2 linked regions of the Lepisosteus oculatus genome follow. The protein of the gene in region 1 binds, or shares a complex with, the protein of each later gene. Links are inferred from orthologs where the notes say so. Each region holds a gene or a part of one and is shown on either strand. Other genes may lie near its edges.

Region 1 (11,418 bases):
TTATCATTTCAGCCAAACATTTTTATTAAGGGGCGATATATTAAATTTGTACATTGTACCAGTAAGACACATGTTTCATTTTGATCACCACAATAACAACTAAGATATTGCTGCTCTGTTATCCACCCAGAGAAGAGAAACAAGGTCCATTATCAGGCTCAAACCACACTGCCAGGCTAAAGGAACTACATATGTTTAGCTCTGAACAGAGACACTATAAGGGGACTAGATTCAAGTATTCAATGTCCTCTGAGACATAGGCAAAATCAACCCAGTGGACAGCCATGTTGCTGAAGGTGATACCCTACTTCAAATCCCTACCTCACATCAATTAGCTACAACCTACCAAACAGACCAGACAGACCACAGAACTTATCAATTGTAACATTTTTAAGTCATGTTTTTGAAAACCAAATGATTTAGACTTGCCTCTTGTTATCTGTGAACTTTATGTTCTTATTATACCAGCTGCTATATCTCTCTGCAATGGGAAAGCTAAGGTTGCTGCTGGAAGAGGTGTTAGTGAGGCCAGTAGGGGGCATTCACCCTGTGGTCCGTGTGGGTCCTAATGCCCCAGTATAGTGACGGGGACACTCTACTGTAAAAAGGGGCATCTCGGATGAGATGTAAAACATCTGTAAAAAATGGCCTCCTAATAATCCCCATCTATGTATTGGCTTCTGCTCTCTCCTCCCCACTGACAGCTGGTGTGTGGTGAGTGTACTGGTGTACTTAGGCTGCCGTTGCATCATTCAGGTGAGGGCTACACACTGGTGTTGTAGGGGAGTCCCCATTACAAGTGCTTTAAGGAATTTATTATTATTGCATAGTGGCACAGTAGTTAGCACTGCTGCCTTGGAGTGCTGGGGTTTGATTGCTAGGCTATCTCTGTGGAGTTTGTATGTTCTCCCTATGTGGGCTTCCTCTAGGTGCTCCAGTTTCCTCCCACAGTCCAATAAGATACTGGTACTGTAGGTTAATTAGCCTCTGGTAAAGCCGGCCCTGGTGCAAGTGTGTGCTTGTGCCAGCGAGTGCCCTGTAGGGGACTGGTGTCCTGTTCAGGGTGTATCCTGTCTTGTGCCTGCTGCTTGCAGGGATAGGCTCTGGCTCCACCAGGATCCTGGATTGGATAAAGCAGTTAGAAAATGGATGGATGTTCTAATTACAGTACATTATGAACACTTAAGTGTAATTTGATTAAATATTAAATGAATAGCTTTAAAATACATAGCACTGCTGTGAGGTTTGAACATTACTGTTACTTAAGGTTTCTTACATGTCTCTTTTGAACTACATTTCCATTAGTGTGTATAATTGATTTCAGGGTAAAGATGATATGATAAAGCTTGAGCAGTCTTGTACATTCTCAAAAGCATCTACAACCTTTTTTGGCTATTTTTTACTATTTATAATGTGTTGCGTTATATCACTAAATATTGGTATTTGGTTTTGGTGTTGTTTCAATTCATACGTACAGTGCAGTGTAAAAGTATCCCGATTTTCTCCATGTTTGCAAAATTTTTACACTGAATGTTTTCAGGTCTTCAACCAAAATCTAATATTAGATAAAGGGTACCTGAGTGAACAAATAACACATTTTTTTTTACTTATTTCGTTTATTTAATGAACAATGTTATCCAACACCAAATTTCACTGTGTGAAAAATTGCTCCCTAGTTAAATCAACCCAATTAAAGAGATAATTTAGAGTCGGCTGATTGAATACAGCCACTGTATAAACCTCACTTACTGTATTTTGAGTCTTACCATCAGAGTCAAGTTGCCAGCACAAAGATTCAATAAGCATATTATGCCACGATCAAAGGAAATTCCTGAAGACATCAGAAAAAAGTCTGGAAAGGGTTACAAAGCCATTTCTAAGGCTCTGGGACTTCACCGAACCACAGTGAGAGCTATAATCTCCAAATGGAGAACACCTGGAACAGTAGTGAGTCTTCCCAGGAGGGCAAGCCTGCCAAACCTTCTCCAAGGGCACAGCATAAAATCATCCAAGAAGTCTCAAGGGATCCTAAAAAAACATCCAAAGAACTGCAGGCATCTCTTGCCTCAGCTAAGTTCAGTGTTCAACACTCCACAATCAGAAAGAGACTGATTCAAAAATGGGCAAAATGGGCAAAAATGGGCTTCATGGGAGAGTAGCAAGGCAGAAACCGCTGCTAACCAAGAAGAACATAAATGCTCATCTCTCATTTGCCAAGAAGCACCTGGATGAGCCCCAAGCCTTTTAGGAGAATGTTCTATGGGCAGATGAGTCAAAAGTGGAACTTTTTGGACAACATGGGTCCCACTATGTCTGGCATAAAGCAAACACAGCATTCCACAGTACGAACATCATACCAACAGTCAAACATGGTGGTGCTAGTGTGATGGTGTGGGGATGCTTTGCTGCCTCAGGACCTGGACGACTTGCCATAATTAAAGAGAAGTGTGAATTCGGCTCTGTATCAGAAAATTCTTAAGGAGAATGTCCAGTCATCCGTCCGTGAACTGAAGCTGAAGTGTAGTTGGGTCATGTAACAAGACAATGATCCAAATACAAAAGCAAGTCCACATCAGAATGGTTCAAAAGAAACTAAATTAAAGTTTTGGAGTGGCCATCAAAGTCCAGACCTAATCCCAATAGAGATGCTGTGGCAGGACCTGAAACAGACAGTTGATGCTGAAAAAAACCTACCAATGTTTCTGAATTAAAACAGTTCTGTAAGGAAGAGTGGGCTAAAATTGCTCCACAGCAATGTGAATGACTGATATTGAATTATAGGAAGTGTTTGGTTGCAGTTATTGCAGCTAAAGGTGGTGCAACCAGTCATTATTTACTTTTTTACTCACACAGGGGATATGGGTGTTGGATAACTGTGTTTATTAAATGAATGAAATAATAATAAAAAAAATGTTACTTGTTCACTCAGGTTCCCTTGATCAAATATTAGATTTTGTCTAAAGATCTGAAAACATCTAGTGTGACAAATATACAATAATAGAGGAAATTGTGGATATTTTTTCACGGCATTGTATATATTTACCTTTAAGGAGTATGTCCCTCTTTCCAGTGAATTAACAGTAGTATGTTTGGCAAGATAAAGGTAAAAGGTCGGAGATGTGTTGTTGATAGTAGCGTTTAGCATCATAAAATTATTTTAAAAAGTACTTCATTTTTATAGAAAAGTTAAAGAGAAGCCCCCGCCACCCTGAAATGGAAGAAGCGGTTATAAAATGGGCGGGCGACAGTTAACAGTAGCAAATAACCCCCCACATCTGGCTATTTTTATCGAGACGGTGCCGTCTTCCTCCTGTTTTACTGATACTTGCGATTCCAAGTTCCACACGGGACGAAAACTTAAAACATCTATGTTCTGTATGTTAAAGGACAGACAGAACTGTATGTTAAAGTATGATAAAAATATCATATGATAAATATCATGTACAGTACATTGTGGAACGCCCACACATCGTCTATTTGTTAAAAGTACTATTACGTTTTATGCCCGCATTGACAGCAAAACATTTCTACACACACTGACACGTATACAGATCTCTCTAATACATAATTGCATGTCAAACTAGGAAAATGGCAACTTTTGAACAAGTTGCACTGTTAATATACTGTTATTAGAAACGACGTTTCCAGTTCTATTGCTTTGCCTCAGACCTCGCATTCCTGAGCGCAGCCCCTGAAATCGACTGTGCCTATTACAAGGCATCATATAAATTATTACAATACTACCATTACACACACCCCAGCACTCTGTATAATGGATTGCATCAACAACTCTGTTTGCACGTCGCAAACTTTGAGCAAGGTGCAGGGTGTTGGAGGAACTTAAGTATCTCGGATGTCCTTTTCTGGACGAGCTGCACAACATTGAATTCCGCATCAGAACACTACAATTTTAAAGTTGTCGCATGGCCCTAAATTCGCATCCGGTTTAACATTCAAACCTGTCAATCAGAAATAGAACGCGTTAACAAATTTAACAGGCTCACTAATGTACAGTACTGTAATTACTGAACGCTAAAAATGTTCATAAACATTAAATTAAGAAACGCCGTGAAACAACCGTCTCAATTACAGCTGGCATCATAAAGAATCGTGCACAGAAGAAAAAAATGCAGTTTTGGAAAAGGGTGGGGAGAATATGACTAACAGCGGACTAAGTGTTGCCAAGTCTTCAAAGGCTACTTACCCAACGATCAAAAACACGACAATGGCCATTGCAAAGTAATTGGTCTGATAGTAGAGCAAATTGCTGACGACTCTGTTGTTCCATTTTGCTAAGTTACCCACGTCAGGTTTTGCAAAGCGATCTGAACCGGGAAGAAAGTCGTCCCAGGGTCTGAGCGGTGCGAGCTCCATCCCAGCCATGATCGCAGCGGCGGTGGCTTGCAGGCTTCTGGGCTGGAGCGAGCATCAGCTGGTGCGCTAACGTCACGGGGCTGAGTGGGCAGGGTTGTCTGGTTCTCGCGATAAACAAACCTGTGCATCTCATCCAGAAGATACAAGATGCCCAGCTTCTCTGTAATAATAATAATAATAATAATAATAATAATAATAATAATAATAATAATAATGCAAAATATTTAAACTGGCGGTGGGTTTTAGACAGTGTACTGAAAACTGCATTAATGAAGCAGACGTTTACGTTACCCGGAATTAAAAAGTAAAGATCACAAAGAATTAGGGTAAATGGTCTTTTATCAAAGTTGCTATGTTCTGTGCTATTGCCCATCCTGTACATTCTGCATACTGACTGCTGTAGGTCTTTTGAGAAAAAAACAGGTGTTTAAGTCTGCTCCTAGACATGGGCCTGAAATGGAGTATTTTGTTGACTGGTGTAACAACTCCTGTCTTCAACTTAATGTATCAAAAACCAAAGGCATGATCATTGATTAAGAAAACAACCACCAGCTGCGAAACCAAAAGTTATCGAAGGTCTGAAACTGAATAGTCATATATTACTCTTATCTTGGCACTAGTGTTAATTACAAACTAACCTTTGAGAAAAACACATGCCATATGTAAGAAGACTCCACTCTATTAATTTGGGTGCTACAACTATCACTTTATCCCAAGGAACTTTCATTGAATTTGCCCTGTTCTCTGTGGTAGATTGATTTGGTAACCTTAATAAACACAATAAAATCAGACTGAGCAGGACAGTGTAGCTAAGGTAGCCAACAACATAATTGGTGGATGACAGCTACAGCTGTCAGACAACCAGGGACGGATTTTGTTGTTTGTAGGCTCTAGGCACTTTCACGCCGAAATGTGCAAAAAGAGGAGTATATGCCAATTGAATTACGTTGATTTACATGATGCACTTTAAACTATTCTAATGCTAAACCACGTGATTGATGGAGCGAGTTGAGCGACCATCACTCGATACTTCTAGTTTCTAGAACAGCCGCTAGATAGCGTAAGATTATTGATTGGGAGCACGTAGAGTCGATCACAAGCATATTGTTTCAGCTCATTTTTCATTAGTCACTAGTGTTTTCCACCTTCGTAGGCACTAAAAAGATTATAGGCCCCAGGTACTGTGCCTACAGTGCCTTGTGCGAAATGCGGCACTGCAGACATCTACATCAGACAAATAGTGTGTCTATCATGGACTGTCATTACTACCCCTTGTATAGTGAATTTGAGCTCCTTCCATCTGGGGACTGATTTAGACTCAAATGCAATAGAACTACATTATCTTTTAATCCAATGGCTAATAACTTGCTTAATTTGGACAATTGATTGTATATTTTATTTTACTTATATATATATTTTCTTATTTATTTATGAATTCATGTTGTATTACTGTACCTTGTTGTTTTTTACCAGACCATGAAGCAAATTTTCCATCTGGGGCAATAACAGTAAGTATCTCAAGAGTTCTGTATCTTAGATTTCTTCTTTTATTTAAGGTGATCTCAGATGTTTTCATATACTGTACATTGTAAGGAAAGGCAGGGTAAGACAAGGTGTGGTTGCTAGATCTTCTGGGTTTTATTCCACACTGGAGTGACTTTTGTGTGGAGTTTGGTTGTTCTCATACTTTTATTTTTCCAAGTGGGTTGCTTTCCTGTCACCTTCCAAAAAAAGCTGTCTAGGTTGACTGGCGTCTCTAAAATGTTCACAGAACGTTTTATGTCACGTATGATCGGGGTGACGCGAACATTGCCAGCAACAAAAATCTTTCTGATGCCGTATAAATCTTGAACTGGTTGGTTGGGGCTGGACTGTTGGCTTGAATTGGCTTGAAAAATCTTTCCATTGTGCTGTTTCAAATCTCCCTCCCTCAAACAGCTGCAGCTCCTAACCACCGCGGCATTGTGGGAGGAGACGGAGCAGGAAATATGGCGGATGTGGAGGAACCGTAAGTATCCGTGAAAGGAGAGGACAGAGAGATCTGCAAATTAGTGCTCATAATCTCATGTATTACCTGCTGAAAAAAAGAGAACACGATTGAACCTTCTTTTATTCTCTCTTTTTAGGGAGAAGAAAAGAAGGAGAGTAGAAGAGCAGACTGAGAAGTTAGTACTGAAATGCTAAAAATATATAAACTGCCAGCAGGTTTGAGGTTACACAGCGCACGGAGTAGTAGAGCATTAATGTGAAAATTCTTTTTTCCATTCGTTGACTGACACATTAATGTTTTGTCTATAAAAGGACGGAAAATTGAAATATTCTAAAATTTACAGTCGATTATAGTAAGGCCTCAGGCTGCTCAAATGTATCGCAGTTTATAGTCACGCTTATAGTAACTAGTTACATGTTTTTAATAACGTGTTCATAAGGAATTTTCACATCTTAATGTTGCGCTCGTTTCTTATTTCGACTGCTATTTAATTAACTCCATTCTTTTATAGAAACATTGCATATAAATTAAAATTATACAATAGCTGTAATACAGGCCTCTACCGATTTCTAATTGTGTTGTTTGGTTACATTGTTTTGTAAACTTTCAAAAGGGAATATATTAAACATAACGTGCTTGTTTTATCAGGATTGTGATAACGATGTTTAGGCTGGAATAGTAACTGTTACACCCCAACAGTTGTTATTGTGAATAGCATGTCAACCAGTAATATATCTGGAGAATTAATCAAAACGTACCAGACAGATAATTATTTCTATTAATTAAAAAGATTCTTAACCCTATTTATTGATAAACGTTCTTCTGGCAAATTTAGTTTCCTCTTGGTAACAGTAATGTCTTAAACAGACTTTATACATAATAAATAAGTTAAACAAGCGTAATTATGGTCAAATACCATCTTATTACAACCTCTGTTGTATTTTGCCAAAAAAAAAATGTACCTTAGGTGTGGTTACTGTGCGATTGGTCAATGTATGTAGGTACTTAAAGCTACATATTCTGAAGTTATTTGTGTCTGAAAGGATAATATATATTTTTATTTATGATATACCTACATTGACATTTGAAGTATTAAAAAAATGGTACAATAGTACAAATAAAGGTACAAGTTTAGATGTTTGACCAACAATGTACTGCGTACTCAAAAGCTAACAATACCAGTTAGCCTGTAAGTTAAAGTCTTTGCACACGCTGCCAACTTTGGTATTGTGTTTTCAAACTACAGGCATTGTGAGCACAGCAGACACGCAAGTTGTTTTCCAACTGATGTTTGTAGCTGAGTTCCTTGTGTTCTGTGCAGAATGGCTGTGGATGGTGGGTGTGGGGACAATGGAGACTGGGCAGGTCGCTGGAGCCATGTCAAGAAGTTTCTCGAGCGCTCAGGACCATTTACACACCCCGATTTTGAACCAAGCACTGACGTGAGACAACTCCACTTTCTCCAGTTGTGTTTTGTACTGGGGGGGAAAGGAAAGCACAGCAAACGAACCCCCACAAGCTTTAAAATGTTGAATGTTTTGAATTACATTTCTTAGAAAATGCAGTTGACAGTTTTGCATGATTTCCATCACATAGTTTTAGTTCCACCTATACACATAAATTCTACAAATGGCTTCATACTGTATTATAAATACGATGCCATGAATTTAATACAAAAATGTTTGCTAACTCGGTACCAATTGATCATATAGTTGATATCAGTTGAAAAGCAGCCATTTAATTTACTAATAAAATAGTAAAAATCCAGTACACATTGTGGTCTTTATTTCAGACTCTACTTCTGTTTTACAATGTAACATGTTTAACATGGTAAAGTTAAAAGAAATCAACACTTAAAAGTGATATTTCCATTTTCAGTTTTAAAATACATTTTTACTCTTTTAATTATGGTCAGGTACATATTGTCACCTGTTCTTTTTAGTTCTGTATGCCATTTGTGTGCGTATTCATAGTAACTCTTTTCTGGTTTTGTGTTTTAACTATAGTCACTCCAGTTTTTATTGGACACATGCAAGATACTAGTCATTGGAGCTGGAGGGCTTGGATGTGAACTTCTTAAAAATCTGGTATGATGCTGATTCTTTTTTTTAAAAAAAACTTTAGATCAGTGTAAACTGGTGTGAAGTTAAGATCTTGTGTGTTTCAATGGGCAGTCAAATGCTTTGCATTGTTCTTAGGGTGAAAAAATGCAGGGAGCTTTGAACGCTTTGAATTTTTTTCATGATGATTGTTTTCTCCTTGATGCTTCTGTTCATGAAATATTTCATCTGGGAGCACAAATGTTTTAGAATGACTTCCTGAACTGCGAAATGCACGTATTAAAATGCTTCTTGTACATTTTTTCCATTTCATGAAGTCTTTTGCATGAATGTTCTTCACTTATAACCGGAAATTATGTTAAAATTATATTTAGAGAATAGGAAAGAAAGTTGAACAAAATGTACCTAACATTCACATACTTCAAACAGTAATTGTCAAATATCTGTGTTTGATAGATTGTTTCTCTTTCAGTATGAATGTCCACGTGCAGGAAAGTTTGGATGAAAACTGTTGTTTTACAATTTAAGCATTGTTGATTGCACTGTACTTTTTTTTGGAATAAGTGACTACTTAAATAAAACGCTGTTGGCATTTGTAAACCTTTTATTCAGATCACTTTTTACCATTATGTTATCAGGCCCTGTCTGGCTTTCGCCATATTCATGTAGTTGACATGGATACCATCGATGTCTCAAATCTGAACAGGCAATTTTTATTCAGGTGAGCTGTGTTTGTTAAGAGCTCTTTTCAGTTCACTGATATAGTGTATTTTCACAGTTAAATAAATCACACATTCCAGACACTCTCTGCTCTTGCTGGCTTCTGCACACTGAAATTGGACATGAAATTCCCATAAAAATCAACAAAATATTGGGAGAGGTGTTCCTGTCCCAACAAAATCAACAAATTGTTGGGTTTTGTCCTGCTTTATTATGACAATATTCTGGTTATTGCTTTTAGGTCTTGCCCTTTTCATCTATATGTTATTTGTGAATCAAGTAATTTACAGAGAAAATGACAGGGGAAAGCTACAGAGGTGCGGACATGTGAGCCCTGAGTGATAAGTTAATAACAGTTAAGAAGATGGCTAAGTACAGACGTCTTACCGACACGTTTTAAATTTTAAGCAATTTTAACACCTCTGTAGGTTGTCCAACAACTTTTCTCACATCTACATAGATGTTTTGCAAATTCACTTTGTGGTAGCTGGGCAGTATCATGTATTCGCTCATTGATCTCATTCCTCTGAATCGCTTTGTATTTTTACTATTAAGCTGATTTGTCCAAGTCCTCTTACTGTCATCAGCGCCATGTGGTGCACCATCTGTGCTGGTCTGCTGTGGCTGATGGGCACAGTGTAACGAGCACAAGTGGTATTTTTGTTCTAAAGTTAAGCATATTTTGGGTAGCAGACTGCAACTGTGGTTATTGCTAATGTTTTTTGACATGATGAAACAGAATATTATTGATAGCATCAGGTGTCTTCTGTCAGTCTCCTCCCTTTCAACTAAGTTGATGTTAGTGTAAAAATTCAGATTCTGATAGTTTTCCTACCTGAACATTTTTTGCCTCCCAACATTTCCTCAGACCTAAAGATGTGGGGAGGCCGAAAGCAGAAGTGGCGGCAGAATTTATCAACAGTCGTATTCCAAGCTGTGGTGTTGTGCCGTATCCTTTACTTTCAGTTACAGTATGCCCTGAACAAAAGGAGCAGGGTGCACAGAACTCGATTATGGTAAAGAAAGGAAACATTAGTTAATGCAGGGTGATCCTGTAAATATCAGTAATAGCAAAAATGTCATTTTTGCATAGTGTGTAAAAAATTAACTCAAACCTGTTTCTAATTTCTTAACAACATGCAGATATTTTAAAAAAATACAAGATTTTGATGATTCATTTTACAGACGTAAGTCTTTCATTGTTTGAACACCTTAATAAAGCTGTTGCAGATTATATATAAGGAGGGTTGCAGTTTTAAATACTGAGGTTTATGCTCCAAAAACAATTTTGCCATCAAAACGCATTTTCCATCGACTGTTATACATAAGGTACATACAAAAAGAAGATTGCAAGTCATTGTTACAGCAGGGAAAACATTCCTTTTTGGAACTGGTCTTAATCCTCTTTGTAAAAGCTTGATCTGAGTTTTACATGTTTTTCAATTTGTGATACTGAGATATCGGGAAAATATAAAAAATTGAGTCTCACTTCCAATACTTATTTGTGTTTCCTCAGAATTTCATATAATTGTATGCGGCCTGGATTCAATCATTGCAAGGAGGTGGATAAATGGCATGCTGGTATTTGTCAATTTTTCATCATCATTGAAAACATTTTCATATTTTTAATATTCACAACATTTAGTTGTACCTAGTATTATACTTTTTTTTTCCTGTGAATTTTGATCTTCAATTTGACCTCATGAGTCAGATGTGATTTAATTTTGGAATTTTAATTAGGCAGGCGACAGTGCCGTAATGGTTATCATTGCTGCTTATCAGCGCTGGGGCCCAAGGTTCAATTCCTGGAATGCTATCTGCTTGATGTTTTTTATGTTCTCATGTTCACGTGGGTTTCCTCCGGGTGCTCTGGTTTCCTCCCATAGTCCAAAGACATACTGGTAGATTAATTGGCTTCTGGGAAAATTGGCCTTGGCATCCCATCCAGGATATTTCCTGCCTTGCACCTGTTGCTTGCTGGGATAGGCTCTTCTGTGACCCTGTAGAACCTGACTGGTTAGATAAATGGGTGGAAGGATTTTAATGAAGCACACTGGAACCAGTACATAGTAGTAAAGATCTAATAAGTGAGATCTGTAAGTTTCAGTTGCTCAAAACTGTTTACCTTCTCTTCAGATGTCACTCTTAAGCTATGAAGATGGTGTTCTGGATCCTAGCACCATTATCCCTCTTATTGATGGGGGAACAGAAGGCTTCAAAGGCAATGCGCGTGTGATATTACCTGGAATGACAGCATGTATTGATTGCACACTT
Region 2 (11,253 bases), on another chromosome or scaffold:
GGAGAATGAGGAGAAAGAGGATGAGGGTGAGGATTGGGATAAGAAAGAGGATGAGATTGAGCATGAAGATGAGGATGATGAGGGTGAGGATTGGGATAAGAAAGAGGATGCGATTGAGGATGAAGATGAGGATGAAAAGAAAGGATGAGACTGAGGATGAGGACAAGAATGAGAATGAAGATGAGGATGATGAGAAAGAGGATGAGGGTGAGGATTGGGATAAGAAAGAGGATGAGATTGAGCATGAAGATGAGGATGATGAGGGTGAGGATTGGGATAAGAAAGAGGATGAGATTGAGGATGATGAGAAAGAGAATGAGGGTGAGGATTGGGATAAGAAAGGATGAGATTGAGGATGATGAGAAAGAGGATGAGGGTGAGGATTGGGATAAGAAAGAGGATGAGATTGAGGATGATGAGAAAGAGGATGAGGGTGAGGATTGGGATAAGAAAGAGGATGAGATTGAGGATGAAGATGAGGATGATGAGGGTGAGGATTGGGATAAGAAGATGCGATTGAGGATGAAGATGAGGATGAAAAGAAAGGATGAGACTGAGGATGAGGACAAGAATGAGAATGAAGATGAGGCTGATGAGAAAGAGGATGAGGGTGAGGACGAGAACTAAGATGAAGATGAGATTGAGAATGATGCTGAGAATGAGGATAAGAATGAGGAAGAGGAGGAGGAGGACGAAGATTTCTGTGAGAATGAGGATGAGGATCAGAATGAAAGTGAGGAGGAGGATGACGATGAGAATGTGGAATGAAGATAAGGATAAGGAGAAGATGAGCGTCTACATTACAGTCGGTATACTCTCTCTTTCCAGGGCTGTAAGCTGGGCATTACAAATTGGCTGAAGCAGAACCTCACGCTGATCCTGGGAGTCTGTGCTGCTGTGGTCGCGGTGGAGGTGAGACAGCCCAGCGGACAGAAACACACAGGGGAGCAGGGGGGGATACAGGCGAGAGCAGGCCGAGAGATCGCTTGTGTCTGTTCAGAGCCCAGCTGCAGCAGACTTATCCTATAGGATACAGGCGAGAGCAGGCCGAGAGATCGCTTGTGTCTGTTCAGAGCCCAGCTGCAGCAGACTTATCCTATAGGATACAGGCGAGAGCAGGCCGAGAGATCGCTTGTGTCTGTTCAGAGCCCAGCTGCTGCAGAACTATCCTATAGGATACAGGCGAGAGCAGGCCGAGAGATCGCTTGTGTCTGTTCAGAGCCCAGCTGCTGCAGAACTATCCTATAGGATACAGGCGAGAGCAGGCCGAGAGATCGCTTGTGTCTGTTCAGAGCCCAGCTGCTGCAGACTTTTCCTATAGGATACAGGCGAGAGCAGGCCGAGAGATCGCTTGTGTCTGTTCAGAGCCCAGCTGCAGCAGACTTATCCTATAGGATACAGGCGAGAGCAGGCCGAGAGATCGCTTGTGTCTGTTCAGAGCCCAGCTGCTGCAGACTTATCCCAGAGGATACAGGTGAGAGCAGGCCGAGAGATCGCTTGTGTCTGTTCAGAGCCCAGCTGCTGCAGACTCATCCTATAGGATACAGGCGAGAGCAGGCCGAGAGATCGCTTGTGTCTGTTCAGAGCCCAGCTGCAGCAGACTTATCCTATAGGATACAGGCGAGAGCAGGCCGAGAGATCGCTTGTGTCTGTTCAGAGCCCAGCTGCTGCAGACTCATCCTATAGGATACAGGCGAGAGCAGGCCGAGAGATCGCTTGTGTCTGTTCAGAGCGCAGCTGCTGCAGACTTGTCCCAGAGGATACAGGCGAGAGCAGGCCGAGAGATCGCTTGTGTCTGTTCAGATCCCAGCTGCTACAATGGTGTGATAATGACTTTACTGTCATACAGTGGTGTGACTGGGGGGCATGCAGACTCATCGGAATCTGCGCTCCCCCTCGTTAACGGTAATGATGAGCAAAGGTGGTTGACGAGCACGACCTAGAGCCGTGATTAATAACATGGATTGATCACGCTGGAAAACCCGGAGCGGATCAGACTGGCGCACGACGAGATTGATAACGGATTGATATCGGATTGATCACACTGTAAAACCCGGACCGGATCAGACTGGCGCGCGACGAGATTGATAACGGATTGATAACACTGTAAAATCCGGAGCTGATCAGACTGGCGGGCGACGAGATTGATAACGGATTGATATCTGATCGATCATGCTGTAAAACCCGGAGCGGATCAGACTGGCGCGCGACGAGATTGATAACGGATTGATATCGGATTGATCACACTGTAAAACCCGGACCGGATCAGACTGGCGCGCGACGAGATTGATAACGGATTGATATCGGATTGATCACGCTGTAAAACCTGGAGCGGATCAGACTGGCGCGGGACGAGAATCGGATCGATCACGCTGTAAAACCCGGAGCGGATCAGACTGGCGCGCGACGAGAATCGGATCGATCGCGCTGGAAAACCCGGAGCGGATCAGACTGGCGCGGGACGAGAATCGGATCGATCACGCTGTAGAACCCGGAGCGGATCAGACTGGCGTGTAGTTGGATTCCAGTTAAGAACACTATGAAGCCTAGAGCAGACCACGCTGGTTTATAACGGGAGTCCGATTGATCCGCTCCAGGTTTTACAGTGTAATTAAGCTGGTGCTTACAATGAGAGCCTGACTGAAGACTTTGTAAAACCCGGGCTGGTCCGGACTGGATTGCCCTGGCGGTGGGATTTATACCAGGGGGGGAGAGGGGGTTTAAAACAGCCCCCAACCCCCCCCCCCTCTCTTTCAGTTCTGCCAGTGTGTCAGCCTGCTGGTGTTCATGTGTCTCTCTCTGTGTCGGCGCCCGGCTCCAGAGAACAGGCTCTTTCAGCCCTCCAGGTCTCAGTGTGCCAGTGTGTGCGTGCTCTGCCTCTCTGGCCACTCCAACTCTGGGGGCTGGGGGCTCTTCAAGAGCTCTGTAGCCCGTAAAGCCTGGAGTGGATCAGGCTGGCCTGCAGTGAGACTGTGATTAGAAGCACTTCAAGCCTCGAGAGAGGGTCACACAAAGGCATGCTTTGGAAATCTGATTACCTGCGGTGTAAAACCCGGAGTGGATCCGACTGGCATGCGATGGGAATCGGATTGATAACATTGTAAGACCCGGAGTGGATCAGACGGGTGTGTAGTTGGAATCCGATCAATAAACATTGCAAAACCTGGGGCAGATCACACTGGTTTATAATGGCAGTCCGATCGATCCACCCCAGGTTTTACAGTGTTATGAAACCGGTGCTTACAATGAGCTGCTGATTGGTGACGTTGCAAAAGCCGGGATCAGGCTGGTTTGCAATAGGAATTTGATGAGTAATGTTGTAAAACCTGGAGTGGATCGGATTGGAGTGCAGTCGAATTGTGATTAAGCACAGTGTGATTGTGGTGGAGTGGACTGGTGTGATGTCATAATTTGTGCCTACATATGCCGCTTGCTGCATGCAGTGTGTGTAATATCCATAACATTATGTTTATAATGGTTCACTACATATTTGTGTGCTTGGAGTAGTTCTGAGGTCGGTGTTGTGTAGTGTTGTCTTGTTTTCCATGGCTCTGATTGTGACTTTGATCTCTTTGTCTCTCTCTGCATCACAGAGATTTTTATGTTGAGTATTGGCAAGGTAAAACAGACTGTCCCTCTCTCACTGCATTAACCCCTCTCTCAGTGCAGTGTTAATGTACTGGAGTGTCCAGTCAGTGTGTCTGTATTAACCCCTCTCTCTCTCAGTGCAGTGTTAATGTACTGGAGTGTCCAGTCAGTGTGTCTGTATGAACCCTCTCTCTCTCAGTGCAGTGTTAATGTACTGGAGTGTCCAGTCAGTGTGTCTGTATTAACTCCTCTCTCTCAGTGCAGTGTTAATGTACTGGAGTGTCCAGTCAGTGTGTCTGTATTAACCCCTCTCTCTCTCAGTGCAGTGTTAATGTACTGGAGTGTCCAGTCAGTGTGTCTGTATTAACCCCTCTCTCTCAGTGCAGTGTTAATGTACTGGAGTGTCCAGTCAGTGTGTCTGTATTAACTCCTCTCTCTCAGTGCAGTGTTAATGTACTGGAGTGTCCAGTCAGTGTGTCTGTATGAACCCCTCTCTCTCTCAGTGCAGTGTTAATGTACTGGAGTGTCCAGTCAGTGTGTCTGTATGAACCCCTCTCTCTCTCAGTGCAGTGTTAATGTACTGGAGTGTCCAGTCAGTGTGTCTGTATTAACCCCTCTCTCTCAGTGCAGTGTTAATGTACTGGAGTGTCCAGTCAGTGTGTCTGTATTAACCCCTCTCTCTCTCAGTGCAGTGTTAATGTACTGGAGTGTCCAGTCAGTGTGTCTGTATTAACCCCTCTCTCTCTCAGTGTAGTGTTAATGTACTGGAGTGTCCAGTCAGTGTGTCTGTATGAACCCCTCTCTCTCTCAGTGCAGTGTTAATGTACTGGAGTGTCCAGTCAGTGTGTCTGTATTAACTCCTCTCTCTCAGTGCAGTGTTAATGTACTGGAGTGTCCAGTCAGTGTGTCTGTATTAACCCCTCTCTCTCTCTCTCTTTCTCTCTCTAGCTCTTTGGTATGATCCTTTCGATGTATCTGTATAGGCAGTTCAAGCTGGACTACGATAAACTGACTCGCTTCTCCTGAGCCCTTTTGATGCTGAAGTATCCCAGTATTCCCGGAGTCTCTCCCACCCCATCCCTGAATCCTGCAGTGTTATTGGACTCATCCGCTTGAATGATGAATTCCAAGTGCAATTCCTCACCACGAAGAGCAGGAACAACATTTTCTTATTTGTACTATAATTTTAAGATGTTTTCATTCTTAAATATTTTTTGCTGTTGAGTTGTTTTTTTATGATTTTTTCTTTGATGTTTTGTATACATTTGAGAATGATGGCCTTTGTAATATGTGTGTAAACAGATGTATATTTAAACCAATGTACCTATTTTTGAATTAAATGACTGGTCCCGTCTCCTGCTGTTCTTTGGGGTTTGGTTTAATATGCAGAGCAATGATGTTTTAGGGAAGTTGTAGAAATAGGGTCGTGTTTGTCCTTCAATACTGAGAAAGAAACTGACATCCTACATTCACTGTAGTCTGATTAAAGTCGCAGTTCATAACCAGTCCAGTCAGTCCAGTCCAGCCTGGAGAGTCTCAGACTGCTCTGTCAGTGTCAGTGGAGTCTGATTATAATCCCAGTTCATAACTAATCCAGCTCCCAGTCCAGTCAGTCCAGTCCAGCCTGGAGAGTCTCAGACTGCTCTGTCAGTGTCAGTGGAGTCTGATTATAATCCCAGTTCATAACTAATCCAGCTCCCAGTCCAGTCCAGCCTGGAGAGTCTCAGACTGCTCTGTCAGTGTCAGTGGAGTCTGATTATAATCCCAGTTCATAACCAATCCAGCTCACAGTAAAGTAAATCCAGTACAATTTTAAATGAAGATAAGGACTTGTATTAATAATAATAATAATAATAATAATAATTACTTACACTTATATAGCGCTTTTCTGGACACTCCACTCAAAGCGCTTTACAGGTAATGGGGATCCCCTCCACCCCCACCAGTGTGCAGCCCCACCTGGATGATGCGACGGCAGCCATAGTGCGCCAGAACGCTCACCACACATCAGCTATTAGTGGGGAGGAGAGCAGAGAGTAATGAAGCCAATTCATAGATGGGGATTATTAGGAGGCCATGATTGGTTAAGGCCAATGGGAAATTTGGCCAGGACGCCGGGGTTACACCCCTACTCTTGTCGAGAAACACCCTGGGATTTTTAATGACCACAGAGAGTCAGGACCTCGGTTTTACGTCTCATCCGAAGGACGGCACCTGTTTACAGTATAGTGTCCCCATCACTATACTGGGGCATTAGGACCCACGTGGACCACAGGGTGAGCGCCCCCTGCTGGCCCCACTAACACCTCTTCCAGCAGCAACCTTAGTTTTATTTCTGTCTCCTATGGGAAAACACAAAACTTAGTACCAACACCCATAACTACAGAAATATGTTGGTACCAGCGACTGGCTACAGGAAAATATGAACTACATAGGTGGATACTTCACACTGGTGGCGGTAGTGGGATTCCCTATTACCTGTAAAGCGCTTTGAGTGGAGTGTAAACTGTATACGTGGAAGCAATTATTATTATTGTTAATTTACTTGTGTGCATATTTCAATTATTTCCTTTCTAGCCGCGGCGCCCTGCCGAATGATGTATATCACCGCGTTGATCGGGAGGAAATAGAGGAGAGAGCCCTCGGAAGAGTTTTTTCAGTCGGGACCTGCGCAGTGCGGCGCCGGACGGCGGGTGACGCAGGCCGCCCCGTGACGTCAGACGCCGAGGCGGCGCGCGCCGTGTCCCAGGCTGCACTGCGCGGAAAAGGGGGCCTAGTTCGCTCTGTTTTGAATCCGGCCGATCGTGTCTTGCGGTGGAAAAAAAAACAGGGGAAGGGAAGGGGGAAGAATACGGACGTTTGAGTATTATTCTTCGTCAGGCTAGCAGAAGGAGGAGAAGACGATATCCGTGTCCGTCTCGGAGGCGAACACGGCGGGGGTCTTGAACCTACAGCCGGCTTGCTCGGGTCTGCGTAACCGCTGCTGCTACCAAACCGTCAGCCTGTAGTTTTGTAAAAAAAAAAAATGTTTTAATTAAATATAGTTGAACAAAAATCGCCTTTCTTGCCGTTAAAACCGCGGGGTTTTTTTTTTTGGGGCAGCGGATAGGAAGGGGGGAGACTTCACTCGCGTCCGCCCGCCCGGGTCGACCAGAAAAAAACAAAACGGTTTTTTTTTCCTCCACCACCACCACCAGCAAGTTTAAATACAAATAACCTGCAGATTTCACAGCCGCGGGTGTCCTGCTGCCGTCGCCCCTGGCTTTGCGGGACGAAGATGGGACGGAGGGAGAGCTAGCGGGGATGCGGTTTCCCTCTCCTCCCCTCTCCCCTCCTACCCTGATCTCTGCTCTTGGGGCGCCAGCAACACAATAATAATAATCATCATCATCATCATCATCAACATCATAATAATTACTACCAGCGCGGAGGAGAGAAGACGCGACAGCACGCCCGACTGTGTGTCTCCCCCTCAACCCTCACCCGTGGAGTCTGGATAACGAGCCGGCGATTGAGGAAGGACTGCCCTCCCCACCCCCCGGCGGATAGATAGATAGAGATAAATGATTTAAAACCGCCCAGTTTCGGGGGGTTTCGATTGCAAACAAATTTTTTTTTTTAAAAAAAAAAGCTAAGAAGACGTTGGGGGGCAGATCCGAGCCCGGAGACTCAAGACGGCGCAGCGGAGCCGCAGAAGGGAGATAAAGAGGTTTGTTGGCGCAGGGAGAGGGTGGGTGGGGGTAAATAAAAGCCAATTCATTCGTTTTTATAACCCTCTATCTGCTGTTTTTGCGTGGCACCCCACAGCAACCTCTCTCTCTCTCTCTCTCCCCGTTTCTCTCCCCCTCGCCCATCAAGTACGGCGTCTTCTTCCTGACGGCCTTCGCCGAACACCGGCTGCCGGAGCCCGGCCCAGCCCAGCCCAGCGCACACAGGCCCGGCCAGGCCTCGGATCCGAGCCCTGCCCCCCGAGAGGGACAGCCCGACACCCGCCAACGAAATTAAAAAAAAAAATAATAAACCAGCGAGGAGAGGGCGAGCGTGCAGTTCAGTGCCCGCCGCCTGAGATCCCTCCTGCCTCTGTTGGGGGGGGTTTCCTTCTGGGGGTGCGCTGTGTCCCCGGCACCCCGCAATTTTCCAGGCGGCTCACGGAAGGAGAGACGAGGAGGGAGAGAAGGGTCCTGCTTTCTGCTAAGCCCCTCCTGACCCCCCTCCGCCCCCATAACCCGAGACGAAGCTAAGTGAAAGAATTTGCTCGCAGGCGACCCAAGACTACCACCGCCTTCCCTTCCTCCTCCTCCTCCTCCTCTTCCTCTCCCCCACCCCCGGAACCAGAACCGCCGGCAGCCGCAAGAGCAGGAGCGACACGGGGCTCCTCCTCCTCCTCCGCGGGCAAGATGATCAAGTTGTTCTCGCTGAAGCAGCAGAAGAAGGACGAGGAGTCGGCCGGGGGCAACCGGGCCGGGGCCGGGGGCAAGAAGGCCAGCGCGGCCCAGCTGCGCATCCAGAAAGGTGCGCACCCACCGTGGGGGGAGAGACGGGTGGGCTCGGGTGGTGGTGGTGGTGGTGGGGGGGAACTGGGGGAAACTCCGCTTGTTTTGAGGGGAGGCGAGGCGAGGCCCCCCTGCTCCCCGCGGCCTTGCTGGGGCGACTCCGTTCCCCGAGAGCGCGAAGCCCCGGTCTCGAGTAGGGGAGCCAGGCCGGGTCCGGGGTCCTCCAGTGGCGGCCGCGCACAGGCGCGGAGTCCCGCCGGCTTTCTCTCTCTCTCTCTCTCGCTGCGTCACCCAGCCGGGGGGTTTCATGCGTTTAGACCGACTAGTCTGCACACACACACACAAAAAAAACTTTTTTAAAAGCCAAGCAGCCCTGACCCTCACCCCGCGTGTCTTTTTTTAGCGTCCTTGCTTCTTGTGTTGTGCGGGATGAGGTTGGCTTCTCCTGGTTTTGTTGTTTTGCGTGGGGACTGTGTAGCTGTGTGGGAACAGGTGCTGCTGAGGTTTGTATACGCTGGAGAGAGAGAAAGGGTCATCTGCCACACGGGATGGGGGTGGGTTACAGAATAACTGACCCCAAAATAGGGGGGTCGGTGTGAACTGGCTTCGTCACTCTGTTCTCCCTGTCCCTGCTGGTCGGTGGTGTGGTGAGAGTACTGGCGCTCACCCTGCGGTCTGTGTGGGTCCTCATGCCCCAGTATAGTGACGGGGACACTAGACTGTAAACAGGCGCCGTCCTTCAGATGAGATGTCAAACCGAGGTCCTGACTCTCTGGGGTCATTAACAATCCCGGGGTGTCTCTCGACAAGAGTAGGGGTGTTACCCCAGTGTCCTGGCCAAATTCCCCCCCTGGCCTTTACCCCATCATGGCCTCCTAATAACCCCCCTCTCTGAACTGGCTCCATCCCTCTGCTCTCCTCCCCACTGAGAGCTGGTGTGTGGGAGAGGACTGGAGCATCATCCAGGTGGGGCTGCACACTGGTGGGGGTGGAGGGGATCCCCAGTACCTGTAAAGCGCTTTGAGTGGAGGGTCCAGACAGGGGCTGTATGAGTGTCAGGACTTGATTCTGATTGACTTTGTCCCTTGTCCCGCAGGGGTGCCCTCCGCTGGTGGCAACCCGGCCGGTGTCTGCGTGGGCCCGTAGGAGCTCAGTTTTGGGGGGGTTAGGGTTACAGTCCCTCCAGTGCCTGGGGGGTACACGCAGAGAGAGCAGGCCGGGCTCCAGGGACGGTCTGTTCTCGCTGATGAACTGTAAAGTGTTTCGCATTGGGGCGCTGTGGAGCGATAGCAGGGGGATGAGGGTTCATTTCGGATTGAGGACCCCAACGTTCCCACTGGAGCCTCCTCGGGTTGGATATTGGGGCGGCCGGGGCGGGGGGGGGGTCCCCTTAGTCGATCTCGGGGTCTCGTCCCCAGGGTTCCGGTTCGGGAGTGACCCTTGGGCTTTGGGAAGGTTTTCGAATCCCATCCTGACCTCGCGGGTCTCCTTTGCTCAGAACCCCGAAGATGGGGCTCTTGTAGCCCAGGGGTTCCCAGTCCCAGTCTTGGGGGACCCCAGTACCCGCTGGCTCCCCCTCCACCTGAGCTCTTGATGGGTGTAAAGCGAACTCTTCTGTTACCTTCAGGTCCTGGAGGTGTTAGGGTGGCCTTTCGGCTGTCGTGCTTCATTAGTAATAATAATTGCTTACACTTATATAGCGCTTTTCTGGACCCTCCACTCAAAGCGCTTTACAGGTAATGGGGATCCCCTCCACCCCCACCAGTGTGCAGCCCCACCTGGATGATGCAACGGCAGCCATAGTGCGCCAGAACGCCCCCCACACACCAGCTAACTTCATCGTGGGCCATAGTCACTTCATCTCCAGCCTTGAAGCCTTTAAGTCGTAGCAGTGGTAGCAAAACTTCATTTTATCTATATACATATAGCGCCTCTTAAAGGTGGCTTCTCGAAGGAGAAGAAAAGCCCACCAGAGGTTCTGATCGAACTGCCCCGTTAATTGGTTCAATTAAGGATTCGTTGAAGTGACCAGCCTGGTGGCAGGGGTGTGGGGTGTGGGGGGCGGTGGGGGTCCCCCTGCCCTCATCGACGCGGTTTCGGCGGCCTTCTTATTCCGACGCGTTCCACCCCGCTCACCGGCACGTCCGCAGGATAACCCCCCCCACTGTCTTCCCACAGATATCAATGAGCTCAACCTCCCGAAGACGTGCGAGATCGTCTTCCCGGACCAGGACGACCTGCTGAACTTCAAGCTCGTCATCTCGCCCGACGAGGTGAGGGAGCCGGCCTGTCCCGGGCCTGTCCGCTGGGTGGGGGGGTTTGGGTTTGTCGTGCTCCGCCGCTGCCCCTCCTCCGCCCCGTGATTTTTTTTTTGTTTGTTTTGAACGGCGCCCCGTCTGCCTCGCTGCGTCATCCCCTTCGACGCCGTGGCGGTAAAGACGGGTCGCGGGCGCGAGGCGGCGCTCCGGCCTGATAGTCCCGTCCGGGTCGCCGGTAGTTAATCGGTCCCCGGATCTCATCCGGCTGCGAACGAGAGGAGCCAGGGTATCGGCTTCAGCCACGTGGCTGGGCAGCTTGTTCCCCACCCCCACCACCCTCTGTGTAAGCGGCTGCCTCCTGTAAAGACTGGAGGGTCTCGCCCAGCTGTGTTGAGAGTGAAGCCAGGCGTCAGCAACAGGGCTGGGCAGCTTGTTCCCCACTCCCACCACCCTTAATGTAAAGAAGTCCCCCCCGTCCTGACTGGAGGAGCTCGCCCAGCTGTGTCTGGAGAGAAGCCAGGGTATCGACCTCAACCACAGGGCTGGGCAGCTTGTTCCCCACCCCCACCCCCCTCTGTGTACAGAAGAGCCTCCTGTCCCGACTGGAGGAGCTCACCCAGCTGTGTCTGGAGAGGAGCCAGGGTATCGGCTTCAACCACAGGGCTGGGCAGCTTGTTCCCCACCCCCACCCCCCTCTGTGTACAGAAGAGCCTCCTGTCCCGACTGGAGGAGCTCACCCAGCTGTGTCTGGAGAGAAGCCAGGGTATCGGCTTCAACCACAGGGCTGGGCAGCTTGTTCCCCACCCCCACCACCCTATGTGTAAAGTAAATTAGAGGGACTGTTCAGCCCATCTGGTTTCGCTGGTAGTTAATAGCCAATCAATTCAAGGGTCTTATCGGGCGGTTTGTTCGGC

What was found.
Region 2: the proteins of uba3 (region 1) and ube2m are in contact, whole or in part, in a crystal structure (PDB 2NVU), measured with the Homo sapiens proteins. The link is inferred for Lepisosteus oculatus from reciprocal best matches to the Homo sapiens genes UBA3 and UBE2M. Residues at the interface, in NP_003959.3 of Homo sapiens: His53, Pro54, Asp55, Glu61, Ser62, Phe65, Cys70, Gln149, Asn152, Asp153, Thr154, Arg157, Gln158, Phe159, His160, Ile170, Arg173, Trp174, Ser181, Leu182, Leu183, Asn184, Pro192, Ile195, Val196, Pro197, Leu214, Met217, Arg254, Met255; in NP_003960.1 of Homo sapiens: Lys3, Leu4, Phe5, Ser6, Leu7, Lys8, Gln9, Gln10, Lys11, Lys12, Glu15, Lys21, Gly22, Ser23, Ser24, Lys25, Lys26, Ala27, Gln31, Leu32, Gln35, Lys36, Ile38, Asn39, Glu40, Phe51, Ser52, Asp53, Pro54, Asp55.

What each region holds. Positions count from the first base shown.
Region 1 is NC_090699.1:50,385,632-50,397,049, reverse strand, and holds the start of uba3 (NEDD8-activating enzyme E1 catalytic subunit), read left to right. Parts: upstream 1-6,328; 5' UTR 6,329-6,362; coding exon 6,363-6,382; intron 6,383-6,500; coding exon 6,501-6,539; intron 6,540-7,685; coding exon 7,686-7,806; intron 7,807-8,370; coding exon 8,371-8,451; intron 8,452-9,062; coding exon 9,063-9,145; intron 9,146-10,012; coding exon 10,013-10,093; intron 10,094-10,287; coding exon 10,288-10,331; intron 10,332-10,660; coding exon 10,661-10,725; intron 10,726-11,280; coding exon 11,281-11,418. Other genes in the region: arl6ip5a (ADP-ribosylation factor-like 6 interacting protein 5a), read right to left, coding at 4,205-4,383. UniProt on the Homo sapiens protein: Catalytic subunit of the dimeric UBA3-NAE1 E1 enzyme. E1 activates NEDD8 by first adenylating its C-terminal glycine residue with ATP, thereafter linking this residue to the side chain of the catalytic cysteine, yielding a NEDD8-UBA3 thioester and free AMP.
Region 2 is NC_090702.1:2,067,469-2,078,721, forward strand, and holds the start of ube2m (NEDD8-conjugating enzyme Ubc12), read left to right. Parts: upstream 1-6,500; 5' UTR 6,501-7,297; intron 7,298-7,446; 5' UTR 7,447-7,985; coding exon 7,986-8,100; intron 8,101-10,259; coding exon 10,260-10,354; intron 10,355-11,253. Other genes in the region: CD82 antigen-like, read left to right, coding at 829-912, 4,537-4,614.